Arabidopsis thaliana: one gene and its partners. The protein of the gene in region 1 interacts with the protein of each later gene in a pairwise test. Each region holds a gene or a part of one and is shown in the gene's direction. Other genes may lie near its edges.

Region 1 (8,615 bases):
TAAAATATGGGAAATATTTTTGAAAAAATTAGAAAGAAATTTTTGAAGATTTACTTTTTTTTTGGTAAGTTGGGAAGATTTACTTCTATATAAAAAAATAAATATAAATATTTCAAATAAAGAAAATAATGAGAAAATACATTAAATGTAGATTTTGTTTGTTATAAAGATAGTAGTAAATATGACTTATAATGATTATTTCTTTATCCTTAATGTACTATTTTATTTTTTATTTTAAAACTAATAGCATTTGATGTAATATTAAGGATAGTTTAATGTTCTTCAGCTAGTTTAATGACTATTTTTAATTTAAAAACTAATATTAACAACATTTGATGTTAGTTCTATATATATATATATATATTTGGATTTGTTTTTTTTGAAAAGTTATTTTTGGATATATAAATCTTCAACCGAAAAAAAAAATTCCCTCAACAAACTTTAGAACCAATATTATATATTTGGCCTAAAATCCAAGAGAAAACTGAGAAACAAAATTTGATGAATTTTTTTACACCCGAAAATGTGAAATAGATATGATACAAATAAAACATGTGGGGCCCAGAGAAACTTTAATTTTCGTAATTGTTATACTTAACACTAGCTGAAGAACGTTCCGGTGTTCCGAGATGGAAACACGTGGAAAATGCTTATTGGCTATAATTTTGAGTTATCCTCTCTTATGTTGTTTTAGCACCAAGGATATCCTAATGATAACCCTAATATCTGAGCGATGATTAGAAGAGAGCTTCTACAAGTATAAATAAAATAACGATCGAGATCTTGTTAGAGCAAAGCCCTAGTTTACCAATGAGACTTGGCTTCATTTGCCTCCTTTAAATCTCAAAGTCGTTTAAGGTTTTTTTTTTTTCAGACGGTCATGAGTTCTTCAGATCGTGACATCATCGATATCGAATCAGGAGAAGAAGATTTGTATAGCGATGGTGGTAACGACATCATCGATATCGAATCAGGAGAGGAGGATTTGTACAGCGATGGTGGTAACGTATCCGATGACTACAACCCTGTGGACGACACAATTAGTCGATCTGAGAAAAGTTACGTTGTTGTTAAGGAAGAAGACATTCTTAAGCTTCAAAGAGACGATATCGAACAAGTTTCGACGGTTCTCTCTGTAAGCCAAGTGGAATCGATTGTTCTGCTTCTTCACTATCATTGGTGTGTTAGTAAACTCGAAGATGAATGGTTTACGGACGAAGAGAGAATCCGTAAAACCGTTGGTATATTAAAGGAGCCTGTCGTTGATGTTAATGGTACAGAAGTGGATATTCAATGTGGAATTTGCTTTGAATCATACACTCGAAAGGAAATTGCTAGGGTTTCTTGTGGTCATCCTTATTGCAAGACCTGCTGGACTGGTTACATCACTACGAAAATCGAAGACGGTCCGGGATGTTTAAGGGTTAAATGTCCCGAACCTTCTTGTTACGCTGTTGTTGGTCAAGACATGATCGATGAGGTTACTGAGAAGAAAGATAAGGACAAGTATTATAGATATTTTCTTAGGTCTTATGTCGAAGACGGGAAGAAGATGAAATGGTGTCCATCACCGGGATGCGAATACGCGGTTGAATTTGGTGTAAATGGAAGTAGTAGTTACGATGTTTCTTGTTTGTGTTCGTATAAGTTTTGCTGGAATTGCTGTGAAGACGCTCACTCTCCTGTGGATTGTGAAACAGTGTCAAAGTGGTTACTAAAGAACAAGGATGAGTCGGAGAACATGAATTGGATACTTGCTAAGACAAAGCCTTGTCCTAAATGCAAGCGTCCTATTGAGAAGAACACTGGATGTAACCATATGTCATGCTCAGCTCCATGTAGACATTATTTTTGTTGGGCATGCCTTCAACCATTGAGCGATCACAAGGCTTGCAACGCGTTTAAAGCAGACAATGAGGATGAAACTAAGAGAAAAAGGGCTAAAGATGCGATCGATAGATACACGCATTTTTATGAAAGATGGGCATTCAATCAATCCTCGAGGCTTAAAGCTATGAGTGATTTGGAGAAATGGCAATCGGTGGAGCTTAAGCAGCTTAGTGACATTCAGAGCACACCAGAAACTCAGCTCAGTTTCACCGTAGATGCATGGCTTCAGGTTAGTAAAAGTAACATTTACAAGACCATTGAAAATGTTTGTGGAAACGACGGAACATAATGGAATTACTACCATAGTAGATATATAATAAACGACAAGCTTTCTTGAAGACGATTTTATGAGTAACTTATCATTGATCTGAACTGATGAATAGATAGATTACAAAAAAAGTGTGTATAATTTTCAAACTGGCAAAAATCATCCCACCATTATGCTAGCCACCAATGAGATTCTAAGTTAGATTTTGTTACTTACATTGTAACAGCGGAACATAATCTGTAGTAGAAAAAACTAGAAAAGCTTTATTAAATTGAAAAATCATCTTAATGACGGTTAACTTTCCGAAATGGTGAAACCATTCCACCATTATGCATGAGAACTACCAATTAGACTCTAAGTTAGTTACGGCATTAATTATATTCTCATTCCACCATTATGCATGAGAACTACCAATTAGACTCTAAGTTAGTTACGACATTATATTAATTCTTGTTGACATGTACTTGATTTTACTGTTACAGATCATCGAGTGTAGGAGGGTCTTGAAATGGACCTATGCATATGGATACTACATACTTAGTCAAGAGCGCAACAAGCGAGTATTTGCAAGGTCAGTTTTTGGTACGGAAACACTTAATTTGTGTGTAATCTTAATTTTTCCATTAATTGTAGCAGAACTTTTTCGTTGTCTTGTTGTTCAGCTGAGGCAGAAAATGGTTTGGAGAGACTTCATCATTGTGCAGAGGAGGAGTTGAAACAGTTTATCGGGAAAATTGAAGACCCATCAAAAAATTTCGGTGAGCTCCGAGCGAAATTAATTGATTTGACTAAAGCAACTAAAACCTACTTCGAAAATCTGGTGAAAGCTTTGGAGAACGGTCTTGTTGACGTGGCATATAATGAGAGCCAGTCAATAGAAGAACCTGAATCTTTTACCAAAAGGTCCAAGACAAGGAAAATAAAAACTTTAATTTAGAGTTTTAGTAACTTCAATATTTTCTATGGTTTATGTGTTTGCTGCGAAGGACTGTAGATTTTTTTATGCCTTTTTTTTTAACCTTAGACCTCAAAGTTTTATTTATTTACAATTAAGGATTTGCGACTTTGCTGCTTGGTTGCTTTATATTTCATAGTGCAATTTTGGTGACCATAATTTGTATTTATTGTCTGAAAACTTCTCTAGATTAAGAGCTAATGTAATATCCATTCAAACATCGGATGAAACCTCTCCTAACATGACAAAGATTAAAAATAAATTACATGAATTGTGAGAACTCAAGCATCTATAATTCTATTTTCGTTGAGCTCATCTATACAACTCTTTCTGAAGTCCAACAAATTCTAAAATAACATGAAAAAGTATGATCCACAAAAAAAGAAAGATAACATAATGAAATCAAAATTTTTATCGGACCCACCCACCTAATCTCCTCCCTTCATGGCTTCATCTACCCGCCACGTTTATTATATGGCATAGTAAGAATCTTTTTTTTTTTACCATCACAATGTCTTAATCGTCATAGATTGCTCTCTACACATTTCATAGAAATCAATCCTGAAATACTCTCACGCATTGCATACAAACTTATTCACAAAAAGGAAGCATCAATTTATAATGAATCATTCCTTCAAATTTAAAACCAAATTAACAGAAGAAGAGAAGAAGAAGACGAAAAAGAAGAATTGACAAGTATTCTAAAAATTATAATAACTTTTATCCAACATCGTAAATAATGAGACATGTATATAACACTATATTCACTTAACTTACATAGGAGACACAATATCAACAACTTATTGTTCCTTTGGTTCGAACAATTTTACCAAAAAAATGAGTGAAGCAAAGAAGGGTCACGTACTGTTTTTTCCATATCCATTACAAGGCCACATTAACCCAATGATCCAACTCGCTAAACGCTTATCCAAAAAGGGCATCACCAGCACACTCATCATCGCCTCCAAAGACCACCGTGAACCTTACACCTCCGACGACTACTCCATCACCGTCCACACCATCCACGACGGTTTCTTTCCACATGAACACCCTCACGCCAAGTTCGTAGATCTTGACCGTTTCCACAACTCTACTTCTCGAAGCCTGACCGATTTCATCTCTAGGTACAATACATGAATTTCCAATATGACATATCTCCTTAGTTATTTTAGAGGTAATTTTACTTTGGAATTTGATGAGAGAACAATTTTAGTCAAAAATCTATATCCTGGACTTCCGAGTGACATAGAATTTCTATTTTTGTCAATTACGAAACGTTTTGTGTTCTGTCTCTTTTAATGTATATTTTGAGTGATTATCAACCACTTTTCATGTTTATACACAGTAATCCAGCTAGATTTTACCATTTACAACATTCATAAGCCTTTTTTTTTTTATGAATTTAAAATAGTTTATATAATGCATTAATGCCCATGTAAGAAATAAGCTTAATTAGTGTTAAAACTATCAAAGCAAGTTTCGTAGCGTTTTTAGGATAAGTATAATTTATATGCAAAAACGTTATCAATCTCTACTGTTATATAACCCCTTGTATATGCAGTGCGAAGTTGTCGGACAATCCTCCAAAAGCTCTGATCTATGATCCATTTATGCCCTTTGCATTGGACATAGCCAAGGACTTGGATCTATACGTAGTGGCATATTTCACTCAACCATGGTTGGCTAGTCTTGTTTACTACCATATCAACGAAGGCACCTACGATGTTCCCGTTGATAGACACGAGAACCCAACACTTGCATCGTTTCCTGGTTTCCCATTGTTAAGCCAAGATGATCTGCCTTCGTTCGCCTGCGAAAAAGGGTCGTACCCTCTTCTACACGAGTTTGTGGTTAGGCAATTCTCTAATTTATTGCAAGCTGATTGCATTCTCTGCAACACTTTTGATCAACTTGAACCAAAGGTAACGTTATTATTTAGATTGGTTTTGGTCATTATTTTGAGTTTTCGAAGGTGGAAAGTTTTTGTGGAACGTGTTTTTTCTTTCACAGGTAGTGAAATGGATGAATGATCAATGGCCGGTGAAGAACATTGGACCGGTGGTTCCATCGAAGTTCTTGGATAACCGGTTGCCAGAAGACAAAGATTACGAACTCGAGAACTCCAAGACAGAGCCAGACGAGTCTGTTTTGAAGTGGTTGGGAAACAGGCCGGCGAAGTCGGTGGTTTACGTGGCGTTTGGGACATTGGTGGCTTTGAGCGAAAAACAGATGAAGGAAATTGCAATGGCGATTAGCCAAACCGGATATCACTTCTTGTGGTCTGTTAGAGAATCCGAGAGAAGCAAACTACCCTCTGGTTTTATCGAAGAGGCAGAGGAGAAAGACTCTGGACTTGTGGCTAAGTGGGTTCCTCAGCTAGAGGTTTTAGCACATGAATCAATCGGGTGTTTCGTGTCACACTGTGGATGGAACTCGACATTGGAGGCACTATGCTTAGGGGTTCCAATGGTGGGCGTGCCTCAGTGGACTGATCAGCCCACAAATGCTAAGTTTATAGAGGATGTGTGGAAGATTGGGGTTAGAGTGAGGACCGATGGAGAAGGGCTTTCGAGTAAAGAAGAGATTGCGAGATGCATTGTTGAGGTCATGGAAGGAGAGAGAGGGAAAGAGATAAGGAAGAATGTTGAGAAGCTTAAGGTGTTGGCTCGCGAAGCTATCTCTGAAGGAGGTAGTTCCGACAAGAAGATTGATGAGTTTGTTGCTCTTTTGACTTAACAATTTGAAACTGAGATGTCATCAGTTTGTTAGTTGATTACCTAATAACGGCTTCTTTGTCATCTAAATTTGAATTATCCTGTTGGTTCCATTGGTTGTCCCCTGCGAACAAATCCATATATGAACTCTGTATTAAAAAACGGAGATGTTTGAATTTGAAGCATAACAAGAATAAAGAGCTTTCTTGATACTTATATAAATATGATACATTGTATCTCAAAATGCTCAGTTCTGTGCAGTAGAGAAGTCTATATAGCTCGATGAAAGTACTTTTTGGGGTTTACATTGTACACTGTTACACGATAAGACAATGACAAATCGGAGAGGGCCGTTTCTTTTTGTATTCTTTGTATCGAGTTTATTGTAAACATGAGAAGAGAGCTCTTGAATTGTGGAGTTTCTCGTGTTCCTGAGTAAACCTCTCACGTTCTTATGTACTATTTCCTGAGAAATCATACATTTGGGTGAGAGAAAAAATCATGATATATATAAAGAGCTTGGCTCTAGTCCGTTATGGATAAGAAAAATCACGATCTTAGAAGAAGTCGGCTTAACTAAGGTGGAAGTAGAAATGCAAAAACATAAATGATAAAGAGTTGTTAAGAGAAAGTTTTTTTACCAAGGGAACTTGAATGTATCTTTCCACCATCCCTGTTTTGAGCAGTGTACAAAGATCTTGTCCAATCGAACTATGATCTCAGAAAATGTTGGTCTAACAAAAGTTTCCGTATCCCAGCATTCCTCAATCAATCTGTTTAAATAACAATTGAACCAAATAAGCTCAAAGAGGTTGGGTAAAGGATCAAGGACCAAGCAAATGATGTTACTGTAACTTAAAGTGTAAAACAAGTTCTGTTTTAAAGTTGATAAAGCTTAGTACACTTACTCTCTCATCTCTTGGGGACAACTTTTGGACTTGGCTTTAAACGAAGGTCTTCTTCCTTCTAAACACATTAGCTTCACTGCCTCTTCTGGGGGTTTAGGATGGAAAGGTTGTACTCCTTCAATCATCTGAAATTTTTAAGATAAACTCATCAGAGAATTGATGCATGAGATTTGCTAGAGAAGCTTATTGGCCTCAATCAGTCAATGCTAGGAAAAACATAATCAGCTAGAATGGTTGAGAAACAGAATGAAGTACTTTTAGAGAGCATATAGAACAGTGAGTGGAATAAAACCAGACTAGATACAGCCATCAAGAAATGCCGAGGAGCACAATGTTTGACCATTAACGTAACTAATAGGTACCGGATATAAGATGACACCAAAACGTATGAATCCATAAGGTACTACCTCATATAATACGACACCAAAAGAGTAAGAATCCACACTCCTGTCAAATATTTCATCTTTGTAAACCTCAGGTGCCATACAGTAATCTGCAAACAACAAAAAAAATCATCTGTTTAAACTATTGCCTCATGGAAATGGACCATTCTTATAACTTATGAGTATATCAATAGTAGAAACAGTTTCTATACTTAATACTTGTATCAAAGTTTCTCAGGAGGAAATAAGCATTTAGGACTTACTTGAAGGATCTATATGGGCCCCGTGATTAAGGATTTTTGATTTATCAGATGATAACTTTGCAAAACTTATCAAACCAAATCCCGCCACCTTCAGATGTCCTCCACTATCGAGCATAATATTTCTGGCACCTTACAAGAAGTTGCAAAAATTAGATAACGAGGGTCCAAATATATGTTCTCGAAAAACTTAACGTGCAAATGCTTCTTTATTTAGTTATCTTACTTGGGTTTTAGATCACAGTGGATTACTGGTTCTGGTTTACACTCGTGAAGATAATTCATTCCCCTGAGAAGAGCCAAATGATTCGTTCAAAAGATTATTAAAAAAAATGTAGTTGTAAGTTGAATACAATCTTGCCAAAAAAGTCACATGCCTGGCTATATCGAGGGCAAATCTTAGAACTTTGGCTGGAGAAAGACGACCTTTTTTTTGAAGATAGCTCCCAAGGTCCCCCTGCAAGTTACCACCAAGTGGACAACATTAGTTCCTACCATCCAAATATTGCTTAATGAGGGAAAAATCTTTTAAGGTGTAAAAAGAGGGAGAAGCTTACTTTAGGATGATACTCGGACACAATCATCATGGGGACATTTTGAGTAACAGCTCCAACAAATTGCACAACATTAGGATGACGTACCTTCTCGAATAAAGTAAGTTCGTGTTTGAAGGCATTTCTGTGGGTACATAATAAAAGTCAGATGAGAAGATTGCAGAACAAACGTAATATATGAAAAGAAAAACAAGGATTAACACAGAGGGAATGAAGTGGATTCCAGAAAATATTACTGGAAATGCACAATTCCAACATAGAAGATTCTATAAGAACTATGATTGAATAATGTTACAGCTCATATCATCATCACTATGAACATAACAAAGATGATTTCAACGATCTATAGCTTCACTCAAGAAGAAATTCAAACTCCTTCTTGACCTGTTAGCTAACATAGACATATTACTCACTGAAGAGAAGAGTAATCTTACATAGTGTCAGAATCCTTGTAGAGATCCTTATCAAGTATCTTTACAGAAACCTTAGTCCCATTCCATTTAGCCACTTGATATATTCCCTGGCAAGTGGAAAAGTGATGTAGTATCTTGTTAAAAATCTATAAATGGAAACTAAGACATTATTACAGGAAAGTAAAGCAAAGAGAGATCTTGCCTTTGAGATACCATCAGCTTTCCGAACTTGAAGTTCCTGCGGATTTAACTCGTACTCAGGAACTTCAC
Region 2 (7,766 bases), on another chromosome or scaffold:
CGGCCATAGTAGATTATCAGCTCCGAATTATATGCTTTGATTATCGATCCGTTGTGTATCCTTTGTAGATTTACGACTCGCTATTACGTGGGTCATTTAGTAATTGTAGTTAAAACTTTCAAATTTTTATCTAAACTCACTGATATGTTTTAAAGTTTCCCACACTACATATTTTTTTTTGTTACATCAATTAAAATTTTTCTTATTATAAACTCTAAAAACATTGTTGTTGTTACATGAAACTATGATATAGATTAGTGCAATTTGTAAATTCCGTCAGCTTGCAAAATCGTACTGTTTCTTTGGTCATTGTTTGTAAGGATTTTTGATCTGTTTACCGTAAGTTTTATAAGGCTTGCGATGTCTAAGTTGGTGAACATTTTACACAATCTACCGTTTCAAATTTCCAACACCATGTCTCGTGGTTCAAATTGAGAGAAAAAATGGCCCATTAGTTGAGATCTACAAAGTGACAAGGGAGAAATCCAATTATTAGTATTATTGTAACAAATGGTTGAATACTTGAATCCTAAAAGAACGACAGCCAGAAAGCTAGAAAACAAAAGATAAATCTCAAGAAAAGAAACGGCCTTTGACAAAAGGAAGGAGACGAATCATAATAATAGATACACGATACAAGATTTGATTTTATCAAAAAAATAAAAAGACGACCAAGCAAGCGTAATTCACGGTACCAATACCATCAACCCCACTAATAATTTGCAGTAATTATAAAAAGATAAATATATGATATATCCAGTTTGGATCTTTATTCTTCATGCTTGCCTAGCAACATAGGCGCACATGGATTTTTGCATACGCACATGCATCAGACTAATATTCACTCATGTTTCATGAACTTGATTCTTACGTTCAAAAGACCGAAGTGATAACATACAAAGTTTGATTAGACAATAATACTCCCTAAGAAACCATGAAAAAATGTTGAACATAGCTTCTTCAAAAGCTGTAAATCCGTCTACCCTAATGTACTCTACCTGCCATATTCAAACCAGAGACCGAAACATAATCCCCTTGAGTATCTCACCCTGTAGGGCTTCGGCCAGAAAACATACCCCTGAAAAATCAGTTCACATTAGAAGGACGCTTGGTTTCTTTATCAGGCAGTATGTTGTTAGGGAGGTTAAGCTCTGGTGGAGTTTCTCTCACTATTCCGAGCATTGAGTCATACTCCTCGTCCTTTAGAGCATGCTTCTTGCGTAGAACCTTCTCGAACTCAATCACATTTAATGGCTTTGCATTCTCTGCAGCGTGAGCCTGTGCGAGGTTTGAGTAGTTTGTTGCTGACTGAGAGATAAAAGCAATTTCCTCATCAGTGAGCTTCCTGAGGAACCTTGCTGGGTTTCCTCCCCATACCTGAGTCATTATAGACCAATGCGAACATTTTAACTCTGTCAGTCAATATGGCGGATGAAGTAAATTTTAAGGCCATGATGAGAGACTAACACCCTTTGGCATTCATATGCAGATAAACCATAGCTAGAAGAACATTTCCACTTTCATCTAACTAACATTTATAATCTGTTAGGGCATCTGAAAAGTGGATAAGATACGTTCTATCCAGATAGAGGAGAAGAATTCTCAAGACTAGAAACTGTATTTCAATTTCACACCAACCTCCAATACTTTCAGCCAATGAAAGAAAGACACTAATAATGTCAATAATATAGCCTATGCTGTCTAAGTAGCAATAGAAGTATACCCGCACCAATGGTTACTTGTGGGTTTTCAGGTAATCAGAAATGTTAAACCCAAAATCATACCTCTCCAGAAGGAATTCTGGTGTTTTGTCGTACAAGTGCACCAGCAGCAACCATCCCATGCTTTTCAACAACGACCCCATCAAGAAGTGTCGCACCCATCCCAATAAAGGTCTCATCCTCAACAGTACATCCATGTAAAACAGCACTATGACCTGTTACACATTTAATTTAAGACTATATCCCAAATGCTTCTTGGAGATGTATGCATATTAAACATTTTCAAAATAAACAGTGAGTAAGAGATTCCCACTAACCAATGGTTACATTGTCTCCAATTATGGTTGGGTGCACCTTCCCGCTTAAGTTTGATTTTGCCACATGCACAAGTGAGTTGTCCTGAATATTAGTTCCTGACCCAACACTTACGGTGTTCACATCGCCTGCGCAGAAAAAAAGAGAGAAAGCAAGTTTAGATTGTATGTTATCCCAGTTTCCTGGTAAAGTACTAACAGGCTTAGCCATACAGTACCAATGTGTTATGACATGAAAGCATTCTGTAAAAAGGACAACCCTATTTCATCACCATTAAATAAAAATCCAGACTAGCCAACTCATACTCGCAATAAGGATTCAACTCAAACTCAATAATCTGTATATGATATCGTTCAACTAATTCTGGTGTTATGACATGAAAGCATTCTGTATATGATTGGGGATATCATATACCCAATCACCCATTAGAGCAACTGCCAGTATCATCAAGATACGATATGTAGTAATGATCTGTTTAAGATCCTTCAATAAAGCTAGAAAGCTCCATTTTGAGTAGTAGTCTTGTTCATCGCTTAACCAGAAGAGTAAAAAACAGATATTCGTTCACTATTTTCTATCGTAAGAGTTGACACAGCTAAGGATACAGAAGTAGATACTATTTCAAACAAAACTTCAGTCACTAAAATAGTCAACCACCAAACACCAAACATTGAGGCTTAGTAGCTAGCTCACCTCGTAATACGCATCCATACCAAATGGACGATCCTCTTCCAATGTGAACGTCCCCAATAACTGAGGCGCTTGGTGCCACAAAAGCTTCCTTGTCCACAATCGGAGCCTTATCAAATACATTCATCAGTGTCCGATGCCTTGACACTACACAGAGAAAACCACAATTACATATAAGCAAATTTCGTGACCAGGAAACAAAAAAAAAACTAAGCAGCAAAACACATTCCACATCAATTAATCCCTTGTGCCATTCGAATCCAGAATCGCTATACCTACAAAGACATCAATTCCAGATCTCTAACCTAACCAGAATAGGTGAGCTGAATTACCCAATCGAAACTCCTCACTCTTTACGAATTCGAAATCGGAGTGAAAAATAGAGTTACGCAGAATCTTACGTTGTTCTCGGAAGTAATTTTTGCCTTGAAGGCGACAACCGAGGCGATCAAGAGCTTGACCAGTCTCACGGATCCAAAAACCGACCGAGTAAAATGCTCTGCCTAGGGTTCCCATTGATCGTCACTTTCTTCGAGCTCACAGGTAAACGAGGACTCAACACTGAATGAAGAAGACGAAAATGGTCGAAGCTGAAGAAGAGACGGAAGAAAAAAAATCAGCGAAAATGGATTTCAACAGGAACATTCCGGGACGGCGAAACAATAAATTACAGTTACAGTGGTTTAATATGGTTTAATCGAACCAAAACAATACGAAATATGAACCAAATCTAATTCGATATTTCAGGTAGTAGTTTCATTAAACCGATTATATTATTCGGTACGAATTTATTACTATATTTTCACTAAATTGAACGGTCCAAAACCTGCCGACCAAAAATCAAATGGCCCTATCAGTAACAATGTCGTTTCGTATCGTCGTCACTTGCAACGCATAACACGTGAGAAAAGATAAACATCGGGTAAAAATGGCCCACTGGTGGGTGGAGAATGGTAATAATTCAGTTTAAAAGCTAAGCCTTCTCACTGATTAACTCAATCATTCATCCGTCTCTGCAAACAAAGGAAGAAGAATCAAGATGGCTCTGGAAATCTGTGTGAAAGCTGCTGTTGGTGCTCCTGATCATCTCGGCGACTGTAACCATCTTCTCTTTCTCTCTCTGTTTTTGTTTTGCATTAAGCTTTTGATTTTGCAATTCTTAATTTCTGAGCTTTGATCGTTGGTAAATTTACTAATTTAAGTGTTTGTTTGTCGTTTTAGGTCCGTTCAGCCAACGGGCTCTTCTCACACTCGAGGAGAAGAGTCTTACCTACAAAATCCATCTGATTAACCTCTCTGACAAACCCCAGTGGTCAGTTTCTCTCACGCCTAAACCCTTAAGATCGGTCTAGTTTGAACTTGTTTAGCCATAATCTCTGAAATTTTACTTGTAACTGGTACGAGCTTTGTGTTAACCGGAAATTGGATTGGCTTCATGTGCGAGCATTGTGTTAACCGGAACTTGAAATTGGTGGCTTTGGTTTTATATATGATGCAGGTTCTTGGACATTAGTCCTCAAGGGAAAGTACCAGTGCTTAAGATCGACGACAAGTGGGTGACTGATTCCGACGTCATCGTTGGTATACTCGAGGAGAAGTATCCTGATCCACCACTCAAGACTCCTGCTGAATTTGCCTCTGTTGGATCCAACATTTTTGGTACTTTTGGGACATTCTTGAAGAGCAAAGACTCCAATGACGGATCTGAACATGCCTTGCTTGTTGAGCTAGAAGCTTTGGAAAACCATCTTAAGAGTCACGATGGCCCTTTTATCGCCGGAGAAAGAGTTTCCGCAGTGGATCTAAGCTTAGCACCAAAGCTTTACCACCTTCAAGTTGCTCTTGGCCATTTCAAAAGCTGGTCTGTCCCTGAGAGCTTTCCCCATGTCCATAACTACATGAAGACTCTGTTCTCGCTCGACTCTTTTGAGAAAACTAAGACCGAGGAAAAGTATGTGATCTCTGGATGGGCTCCCAAGGTTAACCCTTGAAACTATGCACCGTTATGAGATCGTTGGTGTGGTAATGTTGTTCAAGGTCTCTCTCTTATATCAGTCAAATAATGTACTTGGACCTTTTTATGTAATGTACTGTATCAATCAAATAAGAAGCCTATTTTGAAATAAGATTTGCCTCCATATCGAAACTCGGATAAACACTGGCTACACGTAACATAAGGGACAAGGGTTTTTTCAGACAAATTATTTAAGAAACTCATCGACAGTACTTGTGTACTTGACCTCAGGATAAAGCTCAGAAGTCTTAACTCCAAAAGAAGGATCTATAGTCAAGGAGGTAAAGTCGCTCTTCGCAAGGACCGTATGGATCAAACCCACAAAAAAATCCATTGGAGGCTGGGTCTCTGCAAATGCAAGTGACTCGTTTAATACTTTGGAGTTTGGACTGATGAATATTGGATATCAGAAACTGTTTTTATGGTTTAACTGATCACCTTTGATGGTTTTGAGGAGTTCTTCCTCAGAAACATAAGTCTTGTCGAGACTCGAGAGTCTTACCGATCTTTACATCCCACAAATCAACCATATCGTTCTGCGATACAATGTTCTTGGGCGGGTGAATGTAGGGTTGGGTGAGATTTTCCAAGAATGTTCCTGGGAGAAGGCAGTTATAGTCGCACCGTCAGCAGTCGTAAGGTAATCGGATTTTATTGTGGATGACCAGCGATTTTCATGATTTGCATCAAATTGTTTTTTCTCTTCTTCTGAGGGATACGTCGTTTTTCCTGATCCACCGTACCCATATGAGCGGGGACGTGTAAGAGGTTTCTAATCTGAAGGCTATCCAGATGACAACTTTGTTACACCGGAGGAGGAATATGAACCATCCTTGCCCTCTTCAGAATCACCAACTGACAGCTGTCATGCTGACCATGAATCACCCGATTCACCAAAATATCAACAACCGGCTCCGGGAGAAAGGCCGGAATGTGAAATCTACAAAGATTTATGTTCTGATCCCCAGACGGTAGACTGGGCGGCTCCACCTTTGGTAATTTACTACTACGTTCTTACTCTTGTTTATGCTTAATAAGCCGAAATTCTACTTGTTGAGAAAATCAGAGATGGAAGACACCAGGAATTGTTTCTTCTGTACGCGGAAATCACATTGTTCTCCCACTGGGCATCTATTAAGCTAGTGGAGTGGGCAAAGCCATTGGAGCTAATATATGTAATTGTGCAAACCTGGGAGCCGAAGCTGACGATGAAGGCCAAGGCAGCGAATGCAAACTTCTACGTTACCTTTTCAAACCGTCACGGTTTTCCCTACCATGCTGTCATAAGGAGAACAACGACTAGAATACCAAACCAGATGTCGCTTGAATTCAAGATGTTGATGCGTTCCAAATAACAAGTATCCTATCGTCCCATTATGTATTATCATTTTATCGATTTGAGAGTTGTTTCTCCAGATGGTGGTGTGGCTACATTTTTATTTTCTCAATGTTTCGCTTGTTGTGTGTTACTCAAGTTTATGAGTTAATGACTTCTCTCGTACATCCCCGTCTTTCGACTACTTGTTGCTGTAACTTTGATTTGAATGTCAAGAGTGTTCGTCCTTTAATTTGTCCTAGTTGCAAGTTTTTCAGAGATGGAAGAAAAGCCATACGAGGAACAACCATGAGAATTGCATTACAGAATGTGAGGGTCTCGAGCGATTTGCAGGTGTACAAGCAAATTGGCAATGTAGCAGATTTGTTATGATGAGAAGAATATTCAACGCATAGTTTGATATCTTCTGGTTGAAATGGTAAAGTACAAAACTTGAGACGCAAGCTTTCTAAAACCGGAACTCTATGTAGTGGCAATGTCCTTTTAATTAAACGTCGTAACCTCCGGAGATTGGACGGTTTAGTGTCACGATCATCATGCTCGAGCTTCTTTCACAGCAGAGTGAACAGTTACGTACAGAGAAAAACGGTGCAAAAGAAATTGATATTGTGGAAGGTTGGGGGTGAGACTTTACTACTGACTAGGTTATTTCCATATCTCGAACGTCGTTTTATTTTTTTGAATATACTTTCTGGTCAAAGTTTGTATTCGATGTCTTTCTGGGAACTAAAATGTGTTTTGGGAATTAAAATGTGTTTTGGGAACTACAAAGAGAACTTAAACACACTAAGTTCATTCAATTGTAATAAACACGAAACCTTAATCGCAATTTGGCTGTGTAGAAACATAATTAATGGCGGCTACATTTTGTTAATCGTCAGGAGAACACCATGCCGTTTTCGTTTTGGCTAGCTAGTCTAAGAAAATTTAGGTTGAAGTTTGTTTTTTCTTCTTCTTATTTCATGGTTGATCCTACACTCTCTTTTTTTGTCATTTGGAGTTATTTTTGCACTTTTTATTTTTATTTATTTTGAATTTAATATACTTTTTAAAGATCTTTAAATTTTTTTTAACGTATCTGAACCAAAGAATAAAATTTTTAATGGGGCAGGGGGCTTCCACTTCCTCTTAGTTAAACAAAGAATAAATAAGATGTATTCGTTTAAGTCTATATTATCCTCAATATTAAGACAAGCATAATTCTATGGAGGTCTTTTTTCATCTAAACAAAGTATAACTCAATATAGATATTTTTTGTCGAAAGGGGAAACTCAATATAGTCACTCTATATATATAAACTGAAAGCTATCATCGTTACATAAACCAAAACATAAGAAAATTATATACAAAACTAGAAGTAAAAGCATAGATTTATTTCATCTATGGAAATACTAAAAGGAAATTTACTCACTAGTAAAAACGCGTGGGCTAAAATGTGACGGCTGCAATCTAGGTAAAGACTATTATAGCGATGGGTATCGTTGCTTTCGTTCTGGATTCTTCTTTCATAGCCAATGCGCCCACTCCAATATAGAGATTCATAACCTCTATCATCCACAACATTCTTTGTTTATCAAAGTAGTTGCAGAAAATGAAAATGTTGATGAAGAATGCAAGCTTTGTAGAGGTAACTTGCCAAAAATATATTATTATTGTTCTACATGTGATTTTGCTATCGATTTGATATGTG
Region 3 (7,303 bases), on another chromosome or scaffold:
TAAAAAATATCATGTGGTGATTTGTAGGGAAGGTAACAAGTCTTTAAAATTTCCCGGACGTAGCGTACCGACCGTGGGACAGAGGTGAACCCACATGCCCGAAAGAAGACGTGGAGCCCACTAGTAGGGACAGTCAGAACGTCATAAGTAGTATCAGATCCGAATTCACATGAGTGTGAAATCAAGAAAGCTCGCTCCATCCGGGGTTACGATCTTGGTGTGCCACGAGAACGTTACGTTCTGTTTGTGGGGATGAATTGTAACACTCCGATTTTAGGAATATGGTGGTGCATGCGAAAACGTTTAATAGAATTGATTTGACTATTTATATCACCAACGTGCATTTATCTTTTCGGTGAAACTTTTTGGGATAACTTCATAGTTAAGTGTGCTTAAGCTGAAAAATCTCAAAATTGGTGACCTTCCAGAAAGTGATTGTTGTAACCATGTAACTGAGGATAAAACATGGAAAAATTATGTGGTGATTTTTAGGATCAGTAACAAGGCTTTAAAATCTCCCAAACGTAGCTTACCAACTATCAGACAGAGGTAAAACTACGGAAACGAGAGAAAAACGTGGAACTCACTAATAGGAACAGTTAGTTGATTAAACCACTCTTTTACTTCACTGATAATAACCATATGAGAATTCTATCCATCATAACTTCTAAAGCTTTTTTAAACAAAAAGTCATTATTATTTTGATATATTTTAGTTTTATAAACTTTAATTTAAAAAATTATATTGAATCAAAATAGGAGAGACATGTGTTTTATGGGATTCTCGTAAATATCTTAGAGTTTCTTATTTAAGAATCTTTCTTCACTCTTTTCTTCCTTGAGTGAAAAAAAAAAGTGTTTGAAGTAGGAACACGAACTCAATAAAGAATAAAAAGATGATAGATAACATAAAACGTAGGAAACTCGTATTTGAAGTCCAAAAGTTTTAGTGAATATGCTTGGCCTACCTTAGCCCCATAAGTACTACCAATTCATATATAAATAATCCCATCACGAAAAGCGACCTTATACAGTGATGGAAAATGATTTTTGCACACTTCAGTCGTAGTCTAGAAATCCATTAATGAGAAACAACTTTTGTTTATGAAACACTTTATACATGAGTTTTTAGCTAGGGGATTATCACTAGGAAATATGATTGTCGTCACAAAATTCTCAAATTGTATGATGGGGACTAGTTTGTTCCACACCAAGGATATGAGATCGTTGACAAGCTCGGTGAAGTTAGAGGTGAGAAAATGAAAAAAGTAAAGATGTATGTAACACGAGACGAGATATACCAAGCCTCGGCTCACCTTATATAAAAAATACTTCAATAGAAAATCTTTTAAAGTTGTTGCACACACTTATTGGGCTTACAGACAACTAAAACAAATACTTAGCTTCTCACCAACCAATTTCTTATTCTACGCAAAGTATTGAGATCATTCAGAATCCATAGATCATTCAGAATCCATGCACACGAACGCCTGCTTCTCGAACAAAGTAAATTCCTTCTTTCTAAGATTAAAACAAAAGCTAGCTCTTGATCTTTTTTCTTCTATGAAAGGCCTAATCTTTTATATATACACTTTGGTTCGGTTCTCCTATGAATTTGTACAAGCACGTACGACGAAAATTATACATGTTGAAATAGGCTTTTTACCTATGGATTTGCATATTATTTTTATAATCATACCAAAAAGTGTTACTTTTACATGTGACTCTGTGAGTTTAATTAAGTCCGTTTATCTTTGCCAGCAGCTTATTTGAGTTATTTAGTTTATAAAGAGTTCTTTTTTTTTTGTAATAAAAACATACCTATTTGAATAAACATTGAGTGTGTTATTTGTACAAAATAAAATAATTTAATAACACATCTTTTATTTTTTTGATACTACTGATTAACAAAACTTTATAAGTTTTTTTTTTTTTGTTCCTTTTTTAATCTTACCTACAATGGTTCCAAGTTCAGTGTAGCGACATTCGCTTCATTCAATGTCTTTGTTTCTTAACCACTACGATTGGTTTATTATATCTATTGTTATTTGTTGTTTTCTACTTGAACATTACCACACAACACAAGTGTGAAGTTTAAATGTAAAGACAAAAGTCTGGATTCCAGAAGAAGAAAAGAATATACGTTATAGATTCTCTTCACACATGTCTACAATTTCTTAAGATCGTCAGCCTTAATATTCTTTTATCAACGTAACATAAAACTTTTGTACATTATCAAAAAAATATAAAAAAAATTGTAACTTGAAATGATAGATCAATGTAGCTTGTCAATGGATGCTACGTCCGGTTTAGGACCTCCTCCAGCACTTCGATATTTTTTTGCGGGTTAAATCTGCAGCTCTGAATATGATTGTAACCCTTTTTGTTTTGTGACAGTGAATTTTACGTTGTGTATGGAAGTTTATTACTATGCATAGAAAAAATGTTTTTTATATCCATGAATATGAACAATGTGATTACATTACATATACCTTTTATTTTAGATCTCCATACACATTATTATACATCAATACTATGATTCAAAAACATAATATATTAGCCAATACTGATAATCATCATAATTATGTTAAAATCATTAATAGTCTATTAAGTAAAATATAAAAATAACCATCTATTAAATTGAAAACGTTTCACTTTTGGATAAATTTAAATTATCATGGCATTCTACAGTGTCTATAAACACTTAGCTCCAATAATGTTAACTTTTCTGAAATCAATATAAAAATAACCGAAAATGGTTGCTAAATATTTCTTATGTGATGTGTATATAGCCACTTAACTCTTATTTTCACTGATCACACCTTCAAAAATATATAGTTTCGTAATTTAATAGATGGCTAGAACAATTATTAAGACATTAGGTCATCTCCATTGGTCATCTCCATTGGTCACATACTTTAAAAGTTTCTCAAAAAAAAAATATAATAATATTTTATTATGATTTAGTTTCTGTGCAATTATAAATACACACATATACACATAATCTCTCAATCATTACTCTAAAATTTCTCTGCAAAGAAACTATTCTCAATCTCTCTCCTATCTCTCTTCTATTTTATTATTATTTTATATTTTTTAGTTAATGAGAAACTATGTGAGAGACTACTGATGGAGATGGTTTTAGATGATAAGTAGATGGTCAAGATAATACATCCCAGTCCTTTTTTATTTATTTGTTGAAGTAATTTAGATATTCAATTGATAATTTGGATGTCTCTATAAGAAACAAAAATTTACCTAGAAATGACATGCCCTAAAATGTTTCAAATTACGTAAATTATCTGTATGAGAGATCGTACATTTTGTACTATTTTGTACCATTCTGAAACCGCTTACTGCTCCCATTTACTATTAAAATTAAACATTCTAATTACTACTTAACTTCACCAAAATCGACCTATAATTTTTAACGATGATGTCTTTGTCTTATATAAATACTTAAACAGACACACATGCATGTCTCGTCTATATTCATTGACTCACTTGGAACTATATATGAGTCATGCCAATCACTAGCAGCTCTGAAACTTTTGCGAGCTTCTTCAATGACTGGCTCTGCCGTCACAGGCAATTCGTCCAACAACTTGCACACCTTGCTGATGAAACAACCATTGTAACTCCAATAGAAGAAGAATCTCTTGTGAGTAACTTTCTTTCTCACTATCTCCAATACTACGAAGAGAAATCAGTTGCCATGTCCGTGGCCGGTGACGATATATATGATTTCTTCTCTCCACCATGGCTCAGCTCATACGAGAAACTCATCCTCTGGATCGGAGGTTTTAAACCAGGTATGGTTTTTAAGCTCATAACCACTTCTGTTAATGACCTTACGAGCCACCAAATAGACCAACTCGAGAGCATTCGGTTAGAGACTAAACGGAGGGAGAGAGATTTGATGCGAAGGTTCGCGCTTCTACAACAGAGCGTGGGGGATCCACTTCTGATGGTTCCATTTAGGCGCATCGGAGTGTTGAGGCTTGGCGAAGGAGAGCAGCCAGAAATGGAGGATGCAATGGAGGTTTTGAAGGTAGAGATGATTAAAGCGATGAAGAACGCTGATCAACTCCGGTGTGTGACGGTTGGGAAAGTGGTGGAGGTTCTGAATCCACGGCAGTCGATCAAGCTGCTAAGAGCCGCTGGAGAGTTTTATCTCCGGCTGAGAGATTTAGGTGTGTAGAGAGAAACAGTTCTTTGCTAGGACTTTAATGTTCTTTTTTTTTTTTTTTGAGTGTTCTAAGTATTTCGAAATCAGGTTTGGTCTTATAAGTGAACAACATTTGTTCTACAATAAAAACAAATCCGGTAGTGCTTATGTATAGGTTTGGGCTTTGGACATGAGTTTTGTATGTAATTACGTTTCATGCCATCGTACTTTTAGTTCTCTAGTGAGAGTTGATCCTACTTTGTAAATGATAGTCAGATTTTGATGAATGATGTAAGAAAGATAGTGGTTTATTTAATCAGCCAATCTTCTATCCCTTTCTTCATTTTCTTCCCCAAAAATGTCTTCTTCTTTATGTTCGATTGTAAGAAGCCTTTGAATAAACAATACAGTCCACAACTTACCGTAACACAAAATTAATTTTTACAATTCATGGCATTCAAGTTGGTGGTAAGTCTTCTAGCTCTTGCTCTTGTTACATGTAGCTTATATTAAGATTACTTGCAGTTCTCAGTAGGCATTGATTTCCATACATATTGACTAGTTGGGCCTTGGCGAATGGATAGGCTTTTCTTGTTCAGCGTCTAGGTCCGCCCATTTTTGGGTTTTGAACAGTATCATGTTTTAATTCATATGATCTATTGGCTAAAAATTAGAAATTCTTATATCCATTTTTGCAAAAAAAAAAATTAATAGGATAAAATGAAGAAATTAGTATCTTTTGCTTTTCTTTCTCTTGTTATGGCCAGTGATAATAACAATTTAACTTACCCATTTCGATAGTCCATGCTTCTCATATGTTTTTCACGTTTCACCGTCGAATTTAAAATCTTCTTCACTAATATTGAGGTACTAAATATCATGTTTTTTCAACTTAATAGTGTTTATTGGCAGAGGCGCTCAAGGGATCACTCTCCCATGAAGTTGCCTCATTTATAAAATATTTAAGCGGCAAGAACACAAAAAGACCATCTTACTATCTACTCATGCACTTGACTTGAAACTTCTAAAGCTGTAGAAAACTGATTCTCCATAAATACTTTAAGTCTTTAATAATCAAAATTCCATCCAATTCTTCGTTGCACCATGGGAGCACAACAAGTACTGAAGTACAAATGAAATAGAATTGTCTTCCATTATTATCACTAACCCTTTTACTTTCTGGAATTCACATTATGTAACGGATCATAATTCGATTCCACACGTAGTGCATTACTTAGTGCACGATTGCTTCATCATGACTACATGTAAAAACTAAAAAGCATTGGTGGGTTTGACAAAAAACTGTTGACGATACAACTTCGGTTTATGCCTGCTGTCGGAAAAAACCGATACCTAAAGATGCTTCTTTTCGTGGTGCAGATTTTGGTTAAGAGATTGGGAAACCATCCATAATGGCTTGTAAGAATCGGATTCGTATGTGCAGTTGTGGTGATAGACACCTTGGATGAGACAATTCCTTCCGGCTTAATGTTATGTTTCGAATTAATTTAGGCAACATTTTCATGAGTTATGAGAACTAATTCGTTTTGCTTTTCAGGAATTGTCACTCATAACTTTTTAGTCTGGCAGAATCAGAGCATCTCTCTAACTTCATATTAGATTGATGCAATGCATCTCTACTTTAATTTGAAACTTTGATGCTTAGTTTTGTAGCTACGTGACACTAGTTGCGTCAACTCAAGATTATATTAGATTATATAATTTATAGTATTTAGGTTACTATTGAGTCTTGACTCCATAAATAACCAACTGTTTATGTATAGGTCTATGACTATGATACGAAGTAAAAATTTAAGCATATACCTATAACTAATTATAGAAAACAAAACTTGTGACGAGTGTCACGTATTTTTGTAGTCATCATTTAAGCATAATACTATTTTTGTGTTACTATACGGACAAAACTAGAAAACTCGTAAACAAGAAGAAACAATTAATTTGTTTGAGGCTGATACTTTCTTACTTCTATGGTTTACTTTCTATTTACCTTGTGAGTGATAAATGACAACCCTTAAATCTATTTATATATGTCCCAAAATCCGACATAATAAAGAACAAAACTCTTGAGAAAATACTAGCTAGCCTTCGACGCATATTTGATATTAAGTCACTATTAACCAACAGTTGATTAAAATTAAACATGCGGGTAATAGATACTAATAATTTTAGGGTTCTTCCAAAATATTGAAGTGACAGCATTATTGTGCGTTGGATGTAGGCAAATGGACATCACATCACTATATTTAAAGAAAGGTTCGCATAATTACGGTGGCTTTCTATTAATTTCCAAAAATGTACATTGTATAGCGTCACAACTTCATAAAGGACGTCGTCGCATAGAAACAAAAAGCAAAGTACGCAAACATGCATAAGAAGAATAGTTTTTCATATTAAATAGTGGATACTAACATTCGATTTTCCAATCCGCAGAAGGAGAAAAAAGAAACTATTCGTTTGTTTTGAATTCGAATACAAGTAAACATACAATGCTAAATGGAATATGAATTCCAAGAATTCATATTTTCGGTCCTTAGATATGTTCATGGGAAATTAGGAACCGAAGGCTAGTATTTACTCGAGTGGTTTTTTGTTGTTTTTAAAACTATCAATACTTGTGTGTTTACGTACCCTACAAACAATTCATTCGATTCTAAAAACTATTTCATAAACGTGTGGATTTCAGGATTTTTCACATTGCTTTTGCTGGCCCCAAGATTAGTCGGATCTCATGCTTGTTGACCCAATCGAGAACCTGGCTCGGAGCGCATGGTGTCCGTTACATCGGATCACCCGAGTTGTCAAAATAAAAATAAGTTTTAAAACAAAGTAAAAACCTTATAGTTTTGATTTTCTATGTTTTAATATTATATTAGAAACATTTTTTGTATTACAAATTGTTAATGATTATAGATACAGTATGCACTAACAACCACATTATGTTTACAAAATAGCAAATTGTAAATAAGTTTAATATTTACTCCATATTTTTAGTTACTTGGATTTCAAGTATTTTTTCCTACGAATATTTTGTTTATGTGCTAGCAAGTATGTTTTATGATTTGTATCACATTATTTTCAAAAAACATTTATTTGAAAAAGGCACACAATGGCATCT

The links.
Region 2: the proteins of AT2G31790 (region 1) and DHAR1 interact in a two-hybrid assay, tested with the Arabidopsis thaliana proteins (one large-scale study listed by BioGRID).
Region 3: the proteins of AT2G31790 (region 1) and ZW2 interact in a two-hybrid assay, tested with the Arabidopsis thaliana proteins (one large-scale study listed by BioGRID).

The regions. Positions count from the first base shown.
Region 1 is NC_003071.7:13,514,319-13,522,933, forward strand, and holds AT2G31790 (UDP-Glycosyltransferase superfamily protein), read left to right. Parts: upstream 1-3,880; 5' UTR 3,881-3,950; coding exon 3,951-4,237; intron 4,238-4,674; coding exon 4,675-5,035; intron 5,036-5,123; coding exon 5,124-5,849; 3' UTR 5,850-6,046; downstream 6,047-8,615. Other genes in the region: ARI11 (RING/U-box superfamily protein), read left to right, coding at 881-2,119, 2,641-2,729, 2,821-2,824; AT2G31800 (Integrin-linked protein kinase family), read right to left, coding at 6,287-6,293, 6,469-6,600, 6,736-6,860, 7,143-7,228, 7,382-7,503, 7,605-7,667, 7,756-7,835, 7,936-8,056 and 2 more.
Region 2 is NC_003070.9:6,770,413-6,778,178, reverse strand, and holds DHAR1 (dehydroascorbate reductase), read left to right. Parts: upstream 1-3,655; 5' UTR 3,656-3,765; coding exon 3,766-3,823; intron 3,824-3,947; coding exon 3,948-4,038; intron 4,039-4,224; coding exon 4,225-4,717; 3' UTR 4,718-4,877; downstream 4,878-7,766. Other genes in the region: GAMMA CA1 (gamma carbonic anhydrase 1), read right to left, coding at 1,087-1,377, 1,785-1,936, 2,039-2,164, 2,730-2,873, 3,128-3,242; AT1G19565 (uncharacterized protein), read left to right, coding at 5,048-5,100, 5,209-5,300, 5,533-5,735, 5,799-6,095. UniProt on the Arabidopsis thaliana protein: Displays a dual function. As a soluble protein, exhibits glutathione-dependent thiol transferase and dehydroascorbate (DHA) reductase activities. Key component of the ascorbate recycling system.
Region 3 is NC_003070.9:21,637,628-21,644,930, forward strand, and holds ZW2 (transcription factor-like protein), read left to right. Parts: upstream 1-3,463; 5' UTR 3,464-3,522; coding exon 3,523-4,200; 3' UTR 4,201-4,414; downstream 4,415-7,303. UniProt on the Arabidopsis thaliana protein: May be involved in the regulation of abscisic acid (ABA) sensitivity.